4 linked regions of the Caenorhabditis elegans genome follow. The protein of the gene in region 1 interacts with the protein of each later gene in a pairwise test. Each region holds a gene or a part of one and is shown in the gene's direction. Other genes may lie near its edges.

The links.
Region 2: the proteins of abu-11 (region 1) and phat-4 interact in a two-hybrid assay, tested with the Caenorhabditis elegans proteins (one large-scale study listed by BioGRID).
Region 3: the proteins of abu-11 (region 1) and rbm-7 interact in a two-hybrid assay, tested with the Caenorhabditis elegans proteins (one large-scale study listed by BioGRID).
Region 4: the proteins of abu-11 (region 1) and Y39B6A.1 interact in a two-hybrid assay, tested with the Caenorhabditis elegans proteins (one large-scale study listed by BioGRID).

Annotation. Positions count from the first base shown.
Region 1 is NC_003280.10:191,998-196,539, reverse strand, and holds abu-11 (Activated in Blocked Unfolded protein response), read left to right. Parts: upstream 1-1,981; 5' UTR 1,982-2,005; coding exon 2,006-2,080; intron 2,081-2,725; coding exon 2,726-2,944; intron 2,945-2,992; coding exon 2,993-3,562; intron 3,563-3,624; coding exon 3,625-3,948; 3' UTR 3,949-4,031; downstream 4,032-4,542. Other genes in the region: T01D1.8 (ZP domain-containing protein), read right to left, coding at 4,501-4,542.
Region 2 is NC_003283.11:4,128,126-4,131,430, forward strand, and holds phat-4 (ShKT domain-containing protein), read left to right. Parts: upstream 1-1,778; 5' UTR 1,779-1,812; coding exon 1,813-1,902; intron 1,903-1,961; coding exon 1,962-2,223; intron 2,224-2,277; coding exon 2,278-2,672; 3' UTR 2,673-2,784; downstream 2,785-3,305.
Region 3 is NC_003281.10:12,927,866-12,933,541, reverse strand, and holds rbm-7 (RRM domain-containing protein), read left to right. Parts: upstream 1-1,674; 5' UTR 1,675-1,680; coding exon 1,681-1,860; intron 1,861-1,905; coding exon 1,906-2,114; exon of another isoform or gene 2,115-2,154; coding exon of another isoform or gene 2,155-2,360; intron 2,361-2,404; coding exon of another isoform or gene 2,405-2,450; intron 2,451-3,596; coding exon of another isoform or gene 3,597-3,650; exon of another isoform or gene 3,651-3,669; intron 3,670-3,824; coding exon 3,825-3,961; intron 3,962-4,862; coding exon 4,863-5,068; 3' UTR 5,069-5,172; downstream 5,173-5,676. Other genes in the region: Y37D8A.19 (uncharacterized protein), read right to left, coding at 2,155-2,360, 2,405-2,450, 3,597-3,650.
Region 4 is NC_003283.11:19,200,466-19,205,500, reverse strand, and holds Y39B6A.1 (Histidine-rich glycoprotein-like), read left to right. Parts: upstream 1-1,893; 5' UTR 1,894-1,903; coding exon 1,904-1,955; intron 1,956-2,117; coding exon 2,118-2,270; intron 2,271-2,316; coding exon 2,317-4,319; 3' UTR 4,320-4,488; downstream 4,489-5,035.

The DNA of each region.
Region 1 (4,542 bases):
TATGTGTGAAACTTCTTTCAAATATTATATTTGAATCAGGGATGGGCGGCAAACGATTTTTTCCGGCAAATTGCTAAATTGCCGGAATTGAAATTTTTGGCAAATCGGCAAACTAGCAAATTGCCGGAATTGAAAATTTTCAGCAAACCAGTCAACCGGCAATTTACCGATTTTCCGAATTTGTCGACAAAAAAACTTCCGAACGGCAATTGCCGCCCGCCCCTAATTTGAAAAGTTTTTGTATAATACGGTTCGACAGCCGTACACATTTTTTGTTGTGTAGCTCTCAAATACACGCTGTGATTTGAGAATCCATGCATCTGATCTTTTGCAGAGTCTTCCTATCGAAAAGAGCAAATTTCTCAGTACCCCTTGATCTTTTGTAGAACTGCTCATTCACAGCATCTAATCCCCCCACACGTCTTAACATAATTAGCATTCCTACATTAGCTACTACATGTGTTGATTATTTGTCTAACAAGATAGAGATAGTGTATACATACTTCCGCTCTCATAAAGACCGGTCATTTTCCGTGCTCATTCTCACTCTCGCAATGTTCTTCCCACACCCTTGATCCTAAGGAAACATGCTCCTCAAGAATAATCTCTTGAAAAGCGTGAGCGATTGTGGTAACAAAAAATCATGAGTATCAATGAAAACAATTCAACGGAATTTGGATTTGGGTGGGTGTGAAGGCGCTGTAAAAAAATGTAATATGAATTTAAGACCTCTATCTGCAAAAAGGTACAATGTAATTTTACAAAGTATTCAAGGTTTCCCTTGAAATAATTTTATAAAAACATTCGTACTAAATATCGAAAACTGCACCAAAACTATTTGCCGAGTGGATTTATCAGTTTCCCGCAATATTGGCAAGACTATCAGGTTATATGATATGATATTAGTATGAGTGCACCTCCACAAGAGTAAAGATGCAATGACTAAGATCAAAAAATTCCATTCCGCTTTGAGCACAAAAAAGATTCAGCGCTGGTAAACTAGTTCTCACCAAGTTTAGAACATCAAACAATTGACGCAATTTGTAGGTCATAGACTGGCAGGTTTTTGATGTTTTACATGACAAGTTTGAGAATAATGAAAGCAATCTTCATACATTTTAATAACTTTTTAAAGAGTTTTTAACTGATATCTTCCTAGAGCAACAAAAACAGCTTATATTTGCAAACATAACCATTTAAAGTTGAAAATGATACTTTTGCCATTGGGTTTTGAATTTGTCAAAATCTTGTTATTAATTTATTTTACTCATGTAGTTTCTAGAAAACATGTCATTCGTCCTGAAACCCCATGGAGCATACGTTATTGTCCTGTCAGAATGTTATTACGTAATATATTACTCATGACATTTACACCATATACAAAAATCTATTTATTTGCAAATATGTTCCATGATTATTTTCTGAGCAACAACAATTATATCATAGTCTAGACTTCACAGGGATAATTAATGTTGTTGGGAAGAAAAGTAAGAACTTTAGAAATGGTGATTGACCGAGTGAACTCTCAAATATCTATTTTTGTCTTTGTAATAACTCTATGAGTAATGAGGAATGAGGAACTGAATTTGTGACTGCAAATTAATCAGAAAGATTATTTAAAGAAGAAAGATATTTTGCTGTAGTTTGTGATGGCTGCTGAAAGACCACCGGAAGACTTTTGACATCGACCAAGTCCTGAAAGATCACGTCCCTCCAGTTCTTCAACTGTAACCCTTGTGAATACTAGAAAGTAAAAAACAAAAAAATAACAACATGTCAACATAACAACACGCCCTCCCCCTCTTGCTCTGCTCTTCCAAACACATGAGCACACACACACACAGGCACACGCAAAAAATTTGGAGACGCATCACTCGAAGAAACCGGAATTTGGGACAGAGGTGGTAGTAGAGGAGAGGGGGCGATGTTTAACTGATTGCAACGGGAAGATATATAAGCAAGAGCATGTATTGGGACAATCATCACTCACTCTGACAAGCTTGAAATGAACACCAAATTTTCAATTCTCTTTTCGCTTTTGGCGGTTTCAGCACTTGCGGTGGCTGCTGAGGAGAATGTGGTATGTATTATTTTTATGAATCTAATTATAAATATTTCATTTGTTCCCCTTTTCTAACTCTTATATTATAAATACTTATTTTTTAATTTTAAAACATTTCGTGCTCACTCACAAGCAATTGCATAACTTGAATATGAATTAAGTAAAATATAGGAACTTCTTAATATATGTTTCAAATAGTTTATCGTTTGACTTCATTATTTTACTACTGAAAATTTAGCAACAGGGGAGTATTTTGAGCTGCAAAAAAGTCGTTCTGAAAAGTTTTCAATGAATTTTTCACAACTTTCGAACTATCGAGGGCAGTAAAAATGTGCCAAGTGTGAATTTTTGCTGACTTTCAAGAGCTTCTAGCATGTTTAGGAGCTGGCTAACAATCGTAAATTTTTTTGGAATTTTTAATTTTTTGAAAAAATCTGAAATTTTTTCACTCAAGGGGTTTTTCTGATTTTCAATTTTACGGGCTTCTAAAGTAATAAAAAAAATACACTAATAGCAACTTCAGATCGAAATTTTTCTAGTTCTAAGTTCTCCTCTGCCGCTTAATTTTTTTTGCAAGGGCCTATTTAGAAGGTTTTTTGCAAATGAGATATTATCCAGAAGACTAAAAAATTAAGTTGAAAAATTAAGTCGTTCCTTTTTCAGTTCCTCCGCGCTCGTCGCCAATCTTCATGTGGATGCGCCATTCCAGCTGCTCCACAATGCAACTGCCAACCAGCTCAAACCAACACCGCCCAACAATCTTGCTCCTGCGCTCAAGCTCAACAGCCATCAAGCTGCGGATGCGCTCAACAGTATCAGCAACAACAGTGTGCACCAACTTGTCAGAGCTCCTGTGAACAGAGCTGTGTTGCCCAGCAACAGGTTAGTCAAACCAAATTCAACCCAGTTAGCCATTTCATATTATTTAAGCCAATCGCCCAGTGCCAATCATCTTGCTCTTCCACTTGCCAGTCCGCATGCGCTCAGCCAGTTCAGCTTCAGCAGCCAGCTCAGCAACAGTGCCAACAAGATTGTCAAGCTGCTTGCCCACAACAACAACAACCACAGCAACAGTGCCAGCAGCAATGCCAGACGACATGTCAATCCGATGATCAGTACTCTCAACAATTGATCCAACAGCAAACCTACGCTCAGCCAGGACAAATCCCAGCCTACACCGGAAGATCCGAGTACAATACTGCCCCACCACAACAGCAACAAGCCAGTCAATGCAATACCTGCCAAAACTCGTGCCTTAACACATGCCAGCAGCAACAGCAGCCAGTGCAACAGTGCCAATCATCATGTGATCAATCGTGCCAGCCACAATGTGCCACGCCATCTGGCTCCGCTTACAACCAAGTCAACTACCAGCCACAGGCCCAGAACAACTACCAAACCAACAACAACTACCAACAGCCAGGAGCCATTCCATCATACCAAGGAGCTTCCCAGACTGCTGCACCAACCTACCAGCCATACAGAGACACCAATGTTCAGGTAACATATTAATAGTATTACTTCTAAATCTAGATTTAAAGAAATCCAACCTAAATTTGTAGGTCGGAGGAACCATCTCCCAGTGCAACACTTGCCAAACCCAGTGCAACCAGGAATGCCAAGTCCAGCAGACCCCAGTGAACCAGTGCGCTCCACAATGCGACGCTCAATGCCAGCCAGCCTGCTCCCCAGCTGCTCCAGCAGCTCCAGTTCAAACGCAACAACAAATTCAGCTTACCATCAATGTTCCAGTTGCTCGTCAGTCCCCACAGTGTCAGCCACAATGTGAGCAAAGCTGCAACACCCAATGCATTCAGCAACAGCAACCAATCTCGCAGTGTCAGCCAGCTTGTCAGCAGAGTTGTTCGGCTTCCTGCAGAAAGTAAATTAACTTTAATTATTAATTTTTGGGAAAAAATAACTTTGTGATGGTTTTTTGTGTATATTTTGATAAATAAATTGTTTTCTACATATGTTCATCTCCTGCATCATACATCTTCACTAAATATTTTATCATTATTATTCCCTCTTGGGATGATAATTACAGAGAAATTTCTAGAATAGAAAAATTTATGAATCATTCAGTCATGTAAATTTTAGCTTTCAATCTCTATAATCTGCGGAACATCTATCTTCTTTTTTTTCTTTTCCACTCAATTTCTGAAACTGAAGTTTTACCACAAAAGCTAAACCCACCAATTACGTGTTATATTTGAAAAGCGGTAAGAAACTTAAAATAATGAACGGTCATCAAGGGTGTTACCTGCGTCAATAAGGGTTTTCGGTGTTTAATTCCAGTCTTTTGGGAATATTAGTTGTTATAGATTTTGACACAAAAAACCTCCACGCAATAATAATTAAACATTTCGTACATAAATCCTGCGTGTGAAACTTTTTGAAAAATTTTATTAGACAAAATGTTTTATTCATATCATATCTCAATTTAAATATCTCGAAAATCGTCGTTGGTTTCCACATCG
Region 2 (3,305 bases), on another chromosome or scaffold:
TCCACAAAACTCAAAGATTTCTTTTGAAAATAGAAAATCGTCCACTCTTCAAATTTTCAAAACTTCAAGTCAAGCAGTTTTTTCAATTTTTTGGTTTCAAACAACTTTTAAACATAAAGCAACTCCCAGTACCTAAAAACCTTAAGTTATCTTCACCTTTTATCGATTTTCAGTTCGTCTACACCCCATCCGCTGTCGCATGCTCTAACACAATCTCTGATGCAGCTTGCCAAGCTCTCTACGCTGCTCCAGACACCACTGCCGGATACCCATCAGCTGGAACCGATGCTGAACGACCATTGAACTGCTACACAACCGCCACAGCTACTCCAGCAGCTATTGTTCAAGACATGAAGACTGCTGCTTTGGAGACTTGTGCCAAGACTTGTGGATTGTGCTGCCAAACTGATGCATACAGTTGCAGTAAATGTTTGAAAATTCTAAGAAAATTCAATTGCATCAAATCCAAGAAATAGGTGGGGCCACTTCATGAGTTTGAAAGAGATTAACACCAATTTGAAATAGTTACTTTGTGAATTCTACTTCCGTAATTGTGAACGAATTGTTATAAGGCATTTACGGCAAATCGATTCTCAAAAGTCACGTATTCCGAACACTGAACCCAATGGTTTTTGACTTGGGGTACTACAAAAACTACAATTACGTTTTTAAAGTTTCAATTAATGTTATAATTATTGAAATTTCCTTTATGAAAAATTAAATCTTAAAGGGAAATTGTTAAGATTTAAAAATAAATTAAAATGTTTCGATAAAGTTACATATACATTGATCGAAGCCGACTATCAGATTGACACAAACAAAAACAGGTAAAAAACTGATCATCAAAGTTTTCTAATGATCAATTAAACGAAAGAAATCAAAAACAGAACCTGTTAATGATCTGTAAAATATATCAAATTGAACACATTTTTTAAAAATTCAAATGTATCAGATAAACCCATTAAAGGGTTAGAACTTTTTAAGTGAGAATTTGTAAGAAATTAAAATTTTTTTCATCGACAGGCTAACCTAGCAGGCTCCTCTAACAATTCCACCAATAAATTATTTTCCAATTTCAGACCCACGCCTCGACTGCTCAACAATCACCACTGCTCAATGTAACTCTATCATCTGGAGATCCATCATTGCCACCGACTGCCCATCTGCTTGCGGATTCTGTAACGAGGGAGGATGTGTTGATGCTCTTGTTGACTGTGCCACTGATATCTCAATCTGCACTACAGTTGGAATGCAAGATTTCGTGAATACCTACTGCCAAAGAACATGTGGAAGATGCCCATCATCAAGTACAACCTCTTCAAGCTCCACAGCTTCATCTTCCTCCACATGCACTTCTTACAATGCTGACAGTTCATCTCTCTGTTCCGATTGGGCGGCCAATGGATTCTGCACCAATGCGTTCTACACCAGTGCTCAGAGAAAATCTTATTGTGCATCGACCTGCAAGATTTGCTAATTTTTGTCTTCACATAATTTATCACCCCCGCCCCATTTTTTTTTCCAGCCCAGTGACGCTTTCTGAACCCAATTACCTTATTCATTCTAACGGAACTGACCAATCCAGTAAAAATATCGAATAAAAAGCGTTGTGATTTTTAATGTACAAATGAATGATTGCATGGAAAGCTAACATTGTTTGAACAAGCAAAAAACGTTGGTAAAATGGAAACAATGAATTCATCGCTGTGCACTATTGTCAGACAGGTGATCAAATATGATGAATAGGAGTATATAAGAGATATCGGTTTGTCGAGTAATCATCCAAGAATTTCAACAGCAATTCATCCAGCAATGTATTTCCTCATCAGCCTCTTCTTCGTCCCATTCAGCAGCGCCGTTATTGGTGGTGACTTGAATTGTACTACTTACAATGGAACAGCGGTATGTTTTTAGGATAGCGTTTCGAAGGGCCTCTAATAGTAAGAATATTAAAATTTCAGTTCGTCTACACCCCATCCGCCACAGCCTGCTCGAACTCGATTTCCGATTCATCGTGTGCTGCTCTCTACCCACCAGCAGATGCGGCTATTGGATACCCAGCTGCTGGAAATGATGCTGAAAGACCATTTGCTTGTTACACAACTGCCACTCCAACTCCTGCTCCAGTTGTTGCTGACATGAAGACTGCTGCCTTGGCCAACTGCGCCAAGACCTGTGGATTCTGCTGCTCAACTGACGCCTACAATTGTCCAAATGTTGCTTGTAAGTTCCTATTTTTATTTTAGTATTCCTAAAACACGCTCCCACTTCTTTCAGTCCCACGTCTCAACTGCAACACAATCACCAAGGCTCAATGCGACTCTGTCACTTGGAGAACCATCATCGCCGCTGACTGCCCATCTGCCTGCGGATTCTGCAACCAGGGAGGATGCGTCGATGCTGTCACCAACTGCGGAAACGACTTGAGCATTTGCCAAACCGTCGGAATGCAAGATTTCGTTAACCAATACTGCCAAAGAACCTGCGGAAGATGCCCATCGACAACTGGATCCGGAACTGTCACCACTGCATCTTCGGGATCTTGCACTTCATTCGCCGCCGACTCCAGCTCATCTTGCTCAGCTTGGGCCGCCAACGGATTCTGCACCAACACCTTCTACACAGCTGCTCAACGCAAATCCAGATGTGCCACAAGTTGCAGACTCTGCTAATCTATTAATTTATCAATTTTCTCTGACATTTCTCCTTACTTCTTTCAAGACACACATCGGGTGACTATGGAACTGACCATTCCTTCCGTACAATAAATGTTTTAACGTGCAAGTTTTTGGTGAACAGTTTACAACAATAAAACAGGCATGTTTTCAGGCGTACCTTGTACCTTATACCTACCAGAACTTTTCCGTTTTCTCAGTTATTTTACCGTGGTTTTTTGCAGAATTTGAGAAGTATTAACAAGCATTTTGGTTATTAAAGACTAAAGGTTTAAGTTCATTTTGGCGGTAGGCAGGTGTAGGTCATGTTCCACTAGATGTGTGTCTATCCACCTACGTGTCTTATGAGTGACAAAATGGGTAACGGGAGGCCAGAATTCTGGCTTTTACATTATTATCAGCATTGTTAAGGAAAAGGCGATAGAGGGCGATACAGATTATTTTTCATAACTGCAACAAAAAATTCGGTTCATTTTAAATTCATATCGCAGTTAAAACTATTTTAAACGTTTGATCTTCTACTATTTGAATAATTTGATTAGCTGATTGGCTTATGACATCAGCTGCGGGAAGTCATTATGCAAACGTGAATAATTTGGTAGTACGTGTGTTTTATTGTTTTCTATTTTT
Region 3 (5,676 bases), on another chromosome or scaffold:
AAAACAATTTCCAAGTAAAAAAATCATGTATTCAGTGGGCAAGCAGCGGTGAAAGTGGGCATTGTAATATGATTATTGGCCACTTTCACCGCTGCTTGCCCACTGAATACATAATTTTTTACTTGGAAATTGTTTTAGCATCTGCAAAAAGTATTTATTTATCAGTTTTAATAAGAAAAAACGAAAAAAATCGATGAAAAACAAAAGAAAACAGGCGGAAAACAAAGCAAGATAAATGGCCGCTGAAACTTGTCGGCCCCTCGGCCATGGCCTAGAAACCACTTTTCCTCGTCCCTCGTGAGGAAAAAGTTGCAGTGGCGCGCGAGACAGATGTGGCGTTGTTCCAATTTCTTGGCAATTAGCCAAGAAAATGGGAGAACGAACGGGGAAGAAGAGATATGGGAGACGACGGGGGAGACCCAGAAAAGGCGGAAAGTGAAAGAGCTGGGGAAAAGTAGTGGAATATCAAATTTAATCAAAATTCTTCGAAAAAAGGGGTTTTTTGCATTAAAAATCATGTTTTATGTTCATTTTATGTTTTATTACATGTTATCAGTGAAAATAATTGTTTTTGTCATCAAAAAGTATTTGTGAGCATGCTCATGAGCACATATGTGTTTGAGACAAGATTTCTAACAATTTATGGTTTAAACACACTAAATAAAGTACGAAATTACGATTAGCGTTTAAAAAAAATCAAAAATCTTTGTAAAAAATGCCAAAGAAATCAAAATTTGATGTCTTATCATCATCATTTGTGGGTTTTTAATGAATCGTCTAGCAAAAGAGAGGCAGGAAATTGCACTTTTCAGAAAAAAAACCCCACGAGGGGGCGCCTGATCTTGTTTTTTCTCGATAAAAATTGCGGAACAACGGAGAAATATTTATTTATCAATCTAGAAAAATATTGTTCCTCATAGCCTGAACCTGAAAAGAACTTTCTAGTTTTTTTGAAACTGCTATGAAATAGTTAGTAAAACAAATAAATAATGACTCATTTGGGCGCTCTGACGATCTGAAAAGCAGGTAAATTCGTCATACAGGAGAAAAATGAGGAAGAAATAACCTTTTTTCTTTTGAATTAAAAAAAAGCGGACATTTTTCTGAGGAAGAAGGGGGCTAAAGGGTGGCTAAAGGGCTCTTGAGACGGATTCGATTTATTTTTTGAGGTAGAAATATGGATTTTTAAGTCAATTTAAGTTTGGTTTCAAACAAAGCTAATTCTCAGGAATTGAGCGGTTTAGCTGTATAAAAATTTTAAAAATAAATACACCGCTCGCTCCATGGAGAAATATTAATTTTTGCTTTAAATCGAACTGTAGAGCTCTGCGAGCCTCTTCTCCACTCGACACACGGAAAAAACTAGTAAAAGTACCTGAAATATACTTTGGAAACAATTAATTTTCACAAAAAACGGAAAAAGGTTAAGTAAATTTGCTAAAACAACCAGTTTTTGTCGGCTAGGTTCTACTTTTCTAGTGCCGTGCTGGCTTTTCTCTATGCACGAGATATGCGCCAGCAAAATCGAGAAACGCGTCAGCGAGGACATGTTTGCGCCATCCGGGAATGGGAATGGGATTTATTTGGTTTTTCTCGTTTTTCTCGCTTTTTCTCTCACATGAGTGAATTTTCAGCCTTTTTTTCGAAATTTCGAATTTAAATTTGAATTTTCAGCAAAAAATGGAAATAAAACCAACGCCATCGCCTCCAGAAGAGCGCACAATATACGTGGCCAATTTTTCAGAAGAAGTCGATGAAGAATTGCTCGAAGAGCTTTTTATTCAAGCCGGCCCCGTTGTAAAAGTTATTCTGAGAGATGTGAGGGATTCTAATGCAAAATTCGCATTGGTGGAGTTTGAGGTAAGCAATTTCGCTGAAAAATTTAAAAAAAAAAATAAATTTCAGGACGAATTATCTGTACTATTCGCCATTGAATTGATGAATGGAGTGCGACTTTTCAATCAAGAACTACAAGTAAAGCCGCGAAATGGCACAAATCAGGAGGAATTATATAAGCGAAAAAAAGGAGAAATCGAGGAAAGAGTTCGATCGGTAGCGGCACCGGATCGAGACGGAAGACGGGATAGCTATAGAGATGATCGGAACAGGAATAGGTAGAGTTTATTGGATTAATTCAAGGATTTTAAGGCTCAATTAGCACGATCTGACGCAGCAAACACAGCTTCTTCCGTTTGTCGACGGGAATCCGGAGGCGCGATCTGCGGAGAGCCCGGCGGCAAGAGCAACGGATGCACAACATCCTGGGCATCGTTCGGCTGGATTTGAAGCAGCGTCAGTGCACCGAGCATTTGTAGACTGGCCGTCAATGTTGGCGACGAAGCCGGCGGCAGTGGAGCAGGCTGGAAATTGAATTTTATTGATTTTTTAGCGTTAAAAATCGTACCAAAGCAACTTGGGAATCTGTTAGCATTGTTATTGTTCCAGATGATCTGAAAAGAAACAAAATTGATTTTTTTTTTGAATTTTATAATGAAACTTCTTGAAAACTTTTCCAAAAAAAATTATGACGGCTCAAAAAATGGCCTAAAATTCGTTAAAATCGGAAATTTGATCGACTTGTCAATGTCGCAGCGGCTGGAAATATATTTTTTTGAAATCACCGTTAAATTTTGAGTCTACAAGTTGATATTTTGCGTTTTAAACTTGATTAACAAGGAAAGTCGAAAAATTTAATGTCTGACTTTGGCATGACATAGTATTTTTCGATAAAAGAGTAAAAATAATGATGCCTCCAAAAAATTTAGCTGCCCGGTTCAGGTTCAGCAAAGTTATGACGTTTTGGAAGTGACTAAAACACCTTTTTACAAAATTTCAAAATTTTCAACAAAAAAAAATTTCTAAAAAGAGGAGCAAATGTGTGTAAATTATTCAAAACAATGAAAAACATATGCTATGCAAGTTTTAGGTTATACCTCTCAAGAAAACCCACAAATTAAATCTGCAAAAAAATGTACTTTTTGGAATTTTCCTCAAGTTATGTAGATCAAGCAATGTGCTTTTTGGTCTGTGGTGAGAAAAAACGTGTATGATAAATGTTTTTCTCATTTTTGGATAAGTTAAAACAGTTTTTTCCTCTTTTTAGAAAATTTTTTTTTTTTTTGAAAATTTTGAAATTTTGTAAAAAGGTGTTCCAGTCACTTTCAAAACGTCATAACTTTGCCGAACCTGGACCGGGCAGCTAAATTTTTTGGAGGCATCATTATTTTCACTCTTTTATCGAAAAAAATACTATGTCATGCCAAAGTCAGACATTAAATTTTTCGACTTTCCTTGTTAATCAAGTTTAAAACGCAAAATATCAACTCGTAGACTCAAAATTTAACGGTGATTTCAAAAAAAAAATATTTCCAGCCGCTGCGACATTGACAAGTCGGTCAAATTTCCGATTTCATCTAATTTTAGGCCATTTTTTGAGCCGTCATAACTTTTTTCTGAAAAGTTTTCAAGAAGTTTCATTATGAAATTCGGTGTTTTCAGACAATTTTGAGCCTAATAAGGCAATTTTTAAAAAAAATTCTACTACACCAGTGGTGTAACACCACCTTTAATTATAAAAAACATTATAAAAAACTCACGCTCTGCCCCGCAGCCACAGAAATTACAGCGAAAAATACGATAAGAAGCTTCATCTCTAACTCAGACGATGATAAAAAGATCAAATTCGGCTTTATTTTATACCCGGCGTTGGCTTGGTTTCTGTCTCACAACATTTTTTTTTTGATTAAAAATCTCAGAAATCGAAGAAAAACGTTGAAAATCAACAAAAAAAGGCCGAAAAATCATTTTTTTTTTGTCTTTTCCAGAAACGGAAACAACCGTGACTCATGGCAGCAGCAGCAGCCTCCTCGTCATCATCGACAATATGATCCTCTTCCACCTCCACCGCCACCTCCACTGATGGGAGGATCCGGAGGACATTGGAGAAGCGGAGGGGAAAGAGGTAGCAAAAAAATCGATTTTTAGTTGAAATTTCTGAAAAATTGGAGATTTTTAGGCCTGAAATACATGAGAACGGGCTCAAAATAACTGAAAAATGGAAAAAAAATCTTTTTTTTAAAAATTTTTTTTTGCAAAAAATTCAAAATTTCAACCTTTTTTCCGCAAAAAAACATGCTGAAACCCTAAAAATCGATAATTTGCAAGGTTTTTGCGGAAATTAGCCGGAAAATTTGATTTTTAAAAAATTGAGCCAATTTTTGAGGAATTTTAGAAGAACAAATCTATAATTTTTCCGAAACCCCCTCAATATAAGTGAGAAATCGGTGAAAAAATCTTAATTAGAAAAAATTTTTTTTTGTTCAAAAATCTGAAAAATTGGAGATTTTTAGCCCTAAATTGCATAAAAGCAGGCTCAATTTACCTAATTAGGCCTAAAATAACTCAAAAATTGGGAAAAAAAATTACACCAGACGAAAAAAAGAGCATCGTTTGTCCAATTTTCAGACATTTTTCCGCAAAAAAAAATTGCTGAAGCTCAAAAGTGGCCAATTTTAGAGAGTTTCAGGGACTTTTTTTGCGGCAAAAAGTCTGAAAAATCATTCCTAAAATCAAATATTAGAGAAAAATTCAATGAAAACCAATAAATTTTCTGCAGAAAAACGCAGAAATGTCGGAAAAATTCGTTAATTTTTCCAAAAAATCGATTTTTTTTGCAGAAGTTTCTGAAAAGTTCTAGATTTTTAGACCTAAATTTCATGAGAACAAGCTTAATGTACCTAAAATAACTAAAAAAAATTGAATAAAATTGAAAAAGCTGAAAAAAGTTCGCTGAAAAAAGTAACCAATTCAGCCGAAAAACGCAAGAATGTCGGAAAAAAAATCGAAAAATCAATATTTTCCAGGTCCTCCACAATATTCGACTCCGCAAATGCTTCCTCATCAACATTTTGTAAATCAAATGATGCAGCAACAAATTAATAGATCCGCTCCTCCGTACAATGGACGTCATCAGAATTCCACGCCACACCGTCATCACGATCGTCATGGATATGACCGAAGCTCGAGCCGGCATCATCGCAATGATGACAGAAGACGTGAACGTTATTGATCGATGATTCGGGCGGGAAATCATAATTATTTTGATCTTTTTCACTTGTTTTGCCATGTTTTTTGGTCTCATTTTATATATTTAATAAAAGCAAACACAATTTGAAAATATAGAGAAAAATGCAACAACAAAGATCTACTGGAAATTTTCAAAAAAATTTATTTTTAGGCTCCGCCCACTTCCTGGATATCCGGAAATTTCAAGTGATTTTTTTGGAATTTTTTTCCTTTCCAGAAAAACAGATATCTCCAGGAAGTGGGCGGGGCCTAATAAGCCGTTTTTTTTTGAAAAATAAAAAAATCCAAAAAAATTTATTTTTAGGCTCCGCCCACTTCTTGGGCATTCGGAAATTTTCAGTGTTTTTTTTGGAATTTATTTTCCAAAATAACCTATCTCCAAGAAGTGGGCGGGGCCTAAAAAGCAGTTTTTTTTTGAAAATTGTTAAAAAATCAAAAAATTCGGATTTTTTTTGGAAAATCCTAAAAATTCAGAAATTCCACAGAAAAAAAACACCTTTTTTTCAATTTTGGCTAAATTTTGGCCGACCAACCAGCGAATTGCTTCGCCCACTTTCCGACCAATCAGGTGAGAGGTCCACCTTTATTATT
Region 4 (5,035 bases), on another chromosome or scaffold:
ATTATGGAGAGAGAAAAACCTGCTGATGGCACATTTTTCGAATAGTTTTGCGGTTTTTGGTTTCGGAACGTGGGGCGGAAATTGCTCCCGAATGCTGAAAATGTACAGGAACTGGAAAAAAGTCAAGGATCTTAAAAATTAGGCTGCCTGTATGAATTCCACGACAGTATGCTGTGAAATGCTTGAAATTTCAAGTCAAAGGCCCAAAAAATATCAAAGTTTCAGGAAAATTGAGGAAACATCGATTTTCGATGTTTTTCCGGAAAAACTATCCAGATTTGAAGCTTTTTCTCCTAATTTTCCCGGTTTTTTTTGAGAAAAAGTCAAAAACTCGAATTTTGAAGCCAGAAGATTGTCAGGAAACGGAAATTTCTGACAAAATTGCTCAAACTCCTGAATTTTCCACCGGAAACCTTCAAAAAGTGTAGTTGGTACTTCAAAAACCAGTTCAATTGCAGCAAATTAAGAACATTATAGAGATAAGGAGTATTAATTGTTGGTGCAAATAATGAATTATAACCACCATTGCAAGATTGAATGATCACATGATATTTGGAAAACTAGAAAACTAGTATTTCGAATTTCCAACAAAAAAAAGGTGTTAAGAGCACCATTAAAAGTTTGCCATCATCTTTGGAAATGCCACAGGCTCATAAAATAGCAGTTTTGGGTGTGGCTCTTCAGAAAACACAGTTTGGAGTTTTTAGGGGCAGTTGGGAAAGGTCGGCGGGTGCTGAAAGCTCCGAAAGCCCAATCAGAGCTGCTGAATTTGGTTAAAATCTGGAAAACCAGGAATCTAACACCTTGAAGCAACCCAGTGCTGCTCAGAGCTCTTGAGGGCAGCTAAAGCCAGTTGGGAGCTTCTAGAGGCCCATAGAAGCTTATCGGACCAATAGGGAGCTGCTAGAAGCCGTGCTCGTCGGAGCTGCTAAAATCTGCTAGGAGCCACTGGGAACTCACAAAGGACTTGAGGCCTATTAGAATAGTACAGGGCTCAGTAGAAGCAAATTAAATCCTTTAGAAAGCTTGCTTGAACTCCTAGGTCAGGCTGGAAGCTTCTAGAGACATTTATGAGCTGTTGGAGGCAATTGGAAGATTTCAGCAGTCGGGCTTTTCGGAATCACTAAGAGCTCGTGAAGGCACTTTAGATCTGCTAGACGATCACAAGGCTTACTAAAAGCAAATTGAAGCCTTCAGAAAGCTTGCTGGGCGCCTAGGCCAGGCTTTGAACTCCTAGGTCAGGCTGGTAGCTTCTAGAAGTACTTGGAAGGGTCTAGGACTAGTTGGAAGCCGCTAGAAATGTCTATGATCTAACTGAAACAATTAGAAAATTTTAGCAATCAGGCTGCTCGGAGCCACTTGAAGCTTATTGGAAGCAGTTAAACGTTCCAGAAAAGGTCAGTGTCCAAAGGTCAGGCTCTTTTTCGGTATGCTAGAACCTACCGAGACCCGAAAAATCACAAAAACCTCCAACTTCTCACACAAAACCCTTCAGTGAACTACTATAATACAATCAGCTGAAAATTTGAAAATTTTGAAAATTAATCAAATGCTGATGCTCAACAGCTGTCAGACTTCATCACCTCTCCTATTACCTCCCCAAATATTACATCACTCTGACAATCATCGTCCCAAATTTTCACGTTTCTCCTTCTCCGGGTGTCTTATCTCGATCTCTCACTTCTCCAAACATCATCAAAACTTTTAATTGCCTCCCGTGTCAAAATGGGCGGAGTCAAACTTAAGGGAGGCGGAGCCTAAAAAAAGCTTATAAAATGGGGCGGAGGAGGACGGTGATTATCAAAATTTTCGGGGCTTTTTCTCGATTTTACTTCTAAAATCCCTCTTAACTTTGAATTTCGAGTAAAATTCTGAAAATTCTGAAAATTCCAGAACCTAAACAATGACGGTGCACCATCATCATCACACCCACCACGTGTCGCTTCACAAGATCAGTGAGTTTTCGGCGCTTCCTGCCAAAGATCATTCTTATCAGTGAAATTACCGAAAAAATTAGAAAATTTCGGAAATGTTTGCCAACACAACACAACTGACATGTTATCAGTTGTAGTTTCTTAGTATCACCTACGGTAGTCAAAGATCATGATAATTTTCAGAGAAGCTCTTCTCGAAGCACTCCTCGCACGGGCATAAGCTCACTCGGGATGAAGCTCGCTCGGCGCTCCACGATATTGAGCACCTGGCCAAGGAGCTCCACTTCCAGAAGGTCTTTGATCATCATGCTCATGATGGACACATCTCATTGAAAGGTTGGTCCGGAGCTTTGGAATCTCTTAATAAACAGGAATATTTCAGGATTCCTGAGCTTCATCTCCCCACACCACGGTCACCATACCCATCATGCTCACGGAGCCCATCCAGGCCACCACGAGGTCCACCACCACCATCACCATGTGAAGGCTCAGGACTCGAGCAGCTCCAGCTCCTCCTCCAGCAGCAGCTCGAGCTCCAGCTCCTCCAGCTCATCCTCATCCTCTTCCTCTTCGTCTGAATCCGAGGACGAGAAGCACCACCACAAGAAGCACGCCAAGAAGCATCTTAAGAAGCATCACAAGAAGGCCGAGTCTAGCTCTTCCAGCTCATCCAGCTCCTCGAGCTCCAGCTCAAGCTCCTCTTCCAGCTCCTCATCTGAGTCCGAAGACGAGAAGCATCACCATAAGAAGCATGCCAAGAAGCATCTGAAGAAGCATCACAAGAAGGCTGAGAGCTCTTCCAGCAGCTCATCGTCAAGCTCCTCTAGCTCCAGCTCCTCCAGCTCGTCTTCTTCGTCGTCGGAGTCCGAAGACGAGAAGCATCACCACAAGAAGCATGCCGTGAAGAAGCATCACAAGAAGGCCGAGTCTAGCTCGTCCAGCAGCTCGAGCTCGAGCTCCTCCAGCTCCTCTTCCTCATCCGAGGATGAGAAGCACCATCACAAGAAGCACGCCGCCAAGAAGCACGTGAAGCATCACAAGAAGGCCGCTTCCAGCTCCAGCTCTTCCAGCAGCTCCTCTTCCTCTTCCAGTTCTTCTTCATCGTCTTCTTCCTCGGAATCTGAAGACGAGAAGAAGAAGAAGAAGGTGCATCACAAGAAGAGCCACGGAAAGAAGCATCACAAGAAGGCCGCGAGCTCTTCTAGCTCTAGCTCTTCCTCCAGCTCCAGCTCCAGCTCCTCATCTTCCTCAGAATCTGAGGACGAGAAGAAGCACGCTCCAGCCCATCATGAGCACCACGAGCACAAGGATGGAGCTCATCACGAGCACAAGGAAGGAGAGCACCATGAGCACGCAGCTCATCACGACGAGCACGGAGTCCACCACAGACATCATGGAGAGCACCATGGGACCCACCACTCCCCAGCTCATCACGGGGAACATGGGACCCACCACGGACACCATGGAGAGCACCACCATGCTCCAGCTCATCATGGACACCACGAATCCCATGGACACGGACATCACTCCCCAGCCCACCACGGACATCATGGGGAGCACCACCATGCTCCAGCTCATCACGGACATCATGGAGAGCACCACCATGCTCCAGCACACCATGGACACCACGGGGAACATGGGACCCACCACGGACACCACGGATCCCATCACTCCCCAGCTCACCACGGACATCATGGGGAGCACCACCATGCTCCAGCACACCACGGACACCACGGGGAACATGGGACCCACCACGGACATCATGGAGAGCACCACCATGCTCCAGCACACCATGGACACCACGGGGAACATGGGACCCACCACGGACACCACGGATCCCATCACTCCCCAGCTCACCACGGACATCATGGGGAGCACCACCATGCTCCAGCTCATCACGGACACCACGGACACCACGGATCTCACGGAGTTCATCACGGACACCACGAATCCCATGGGCATGGTCACCACGCACCGGCTCACCACGGACACCATGGGGAGCATGGAGTTCATCACGGACATCATGGAGCAGGCTACGGAGCTCACCATGGACACCACGGAGCCCACCACCACCACGCCCCACACCATGAGCATCACGAACACCATGGAGATCATCACCACGGATCTCACGGAGTCCATCACGGACACCACGGAACCCACCACTCCCTAGCACATCACGGACATCACGGAGGTCATGGGACCCACCACGGAGCCCATCACTCCCCGGCTCACCACGGACACCACGGAGCCCACCACGAGCACGGAGCCCATCACGGAGCCCACCACGGACACCATGACGACAAGGAGAACCACCACCATCATGGACACCATTCGAAGCATTCAAAGAAGCAGCACACGAAGAAGTCACATAAGAAGAGCCACTAGACGGGCGGTCGATGAGCTTCTGCTCGCCACAATTGATGCGTCACTGCATTACATGTACTTTTTGGATAAATCCTGAACAGCCTTTTTTTTTTGTTTGTATCGATTTTTCTAGCGAATTTGTAATTTTTTGTACCAATTTTTCCGTGTCGAATAAATTAATTTCATTGTGTTTAGTGGAGAAAAACGAAGAAAAAAAACATGAAAAATTGCGATAGCAGCGCCCAAATCTTGTAGTTTGTAGTTTTAGCAGCGCCCAAACTCACTTTTTCTTCATTTTTCCAATTTTTTGCCGAAAAAACAGTCGAAAACTAGGTTTTTTATACGAAAAATCGCATAGCAGCGCCCAAAACTTGTAGTTTGTAGTCTTAGCAGCGCCCAAAATTGAATTAGCAGCGCCCAAAACTTGTAGTTTGTAGTTTAGCAGCGCCCAAAATTGAATTAGCAGCGCCCAAAATTGAATTAGCAGCGCCCAAAATCTTGTAGTTTGTAGTGTTAGCAGCGCCCAAAATCTTGTAGTTTGTAGTTTAGCAGCGCCCAAAATCTTGTAGTTTGTAGTCTAAGCAGCGCCCAAAACTTGTAGTTTGTAGTCTTAGCAGCGCCCAAAACTCGTAGTTTGTAGTCTAAGCAGCGCCCAAAATTGAATTAGCAGCGCCCAAAATCTTGTAGTTTGTAGTGTTAGCAGCGCCCAAAATCTTGTAGTTTGTAGTCTAAGCAGC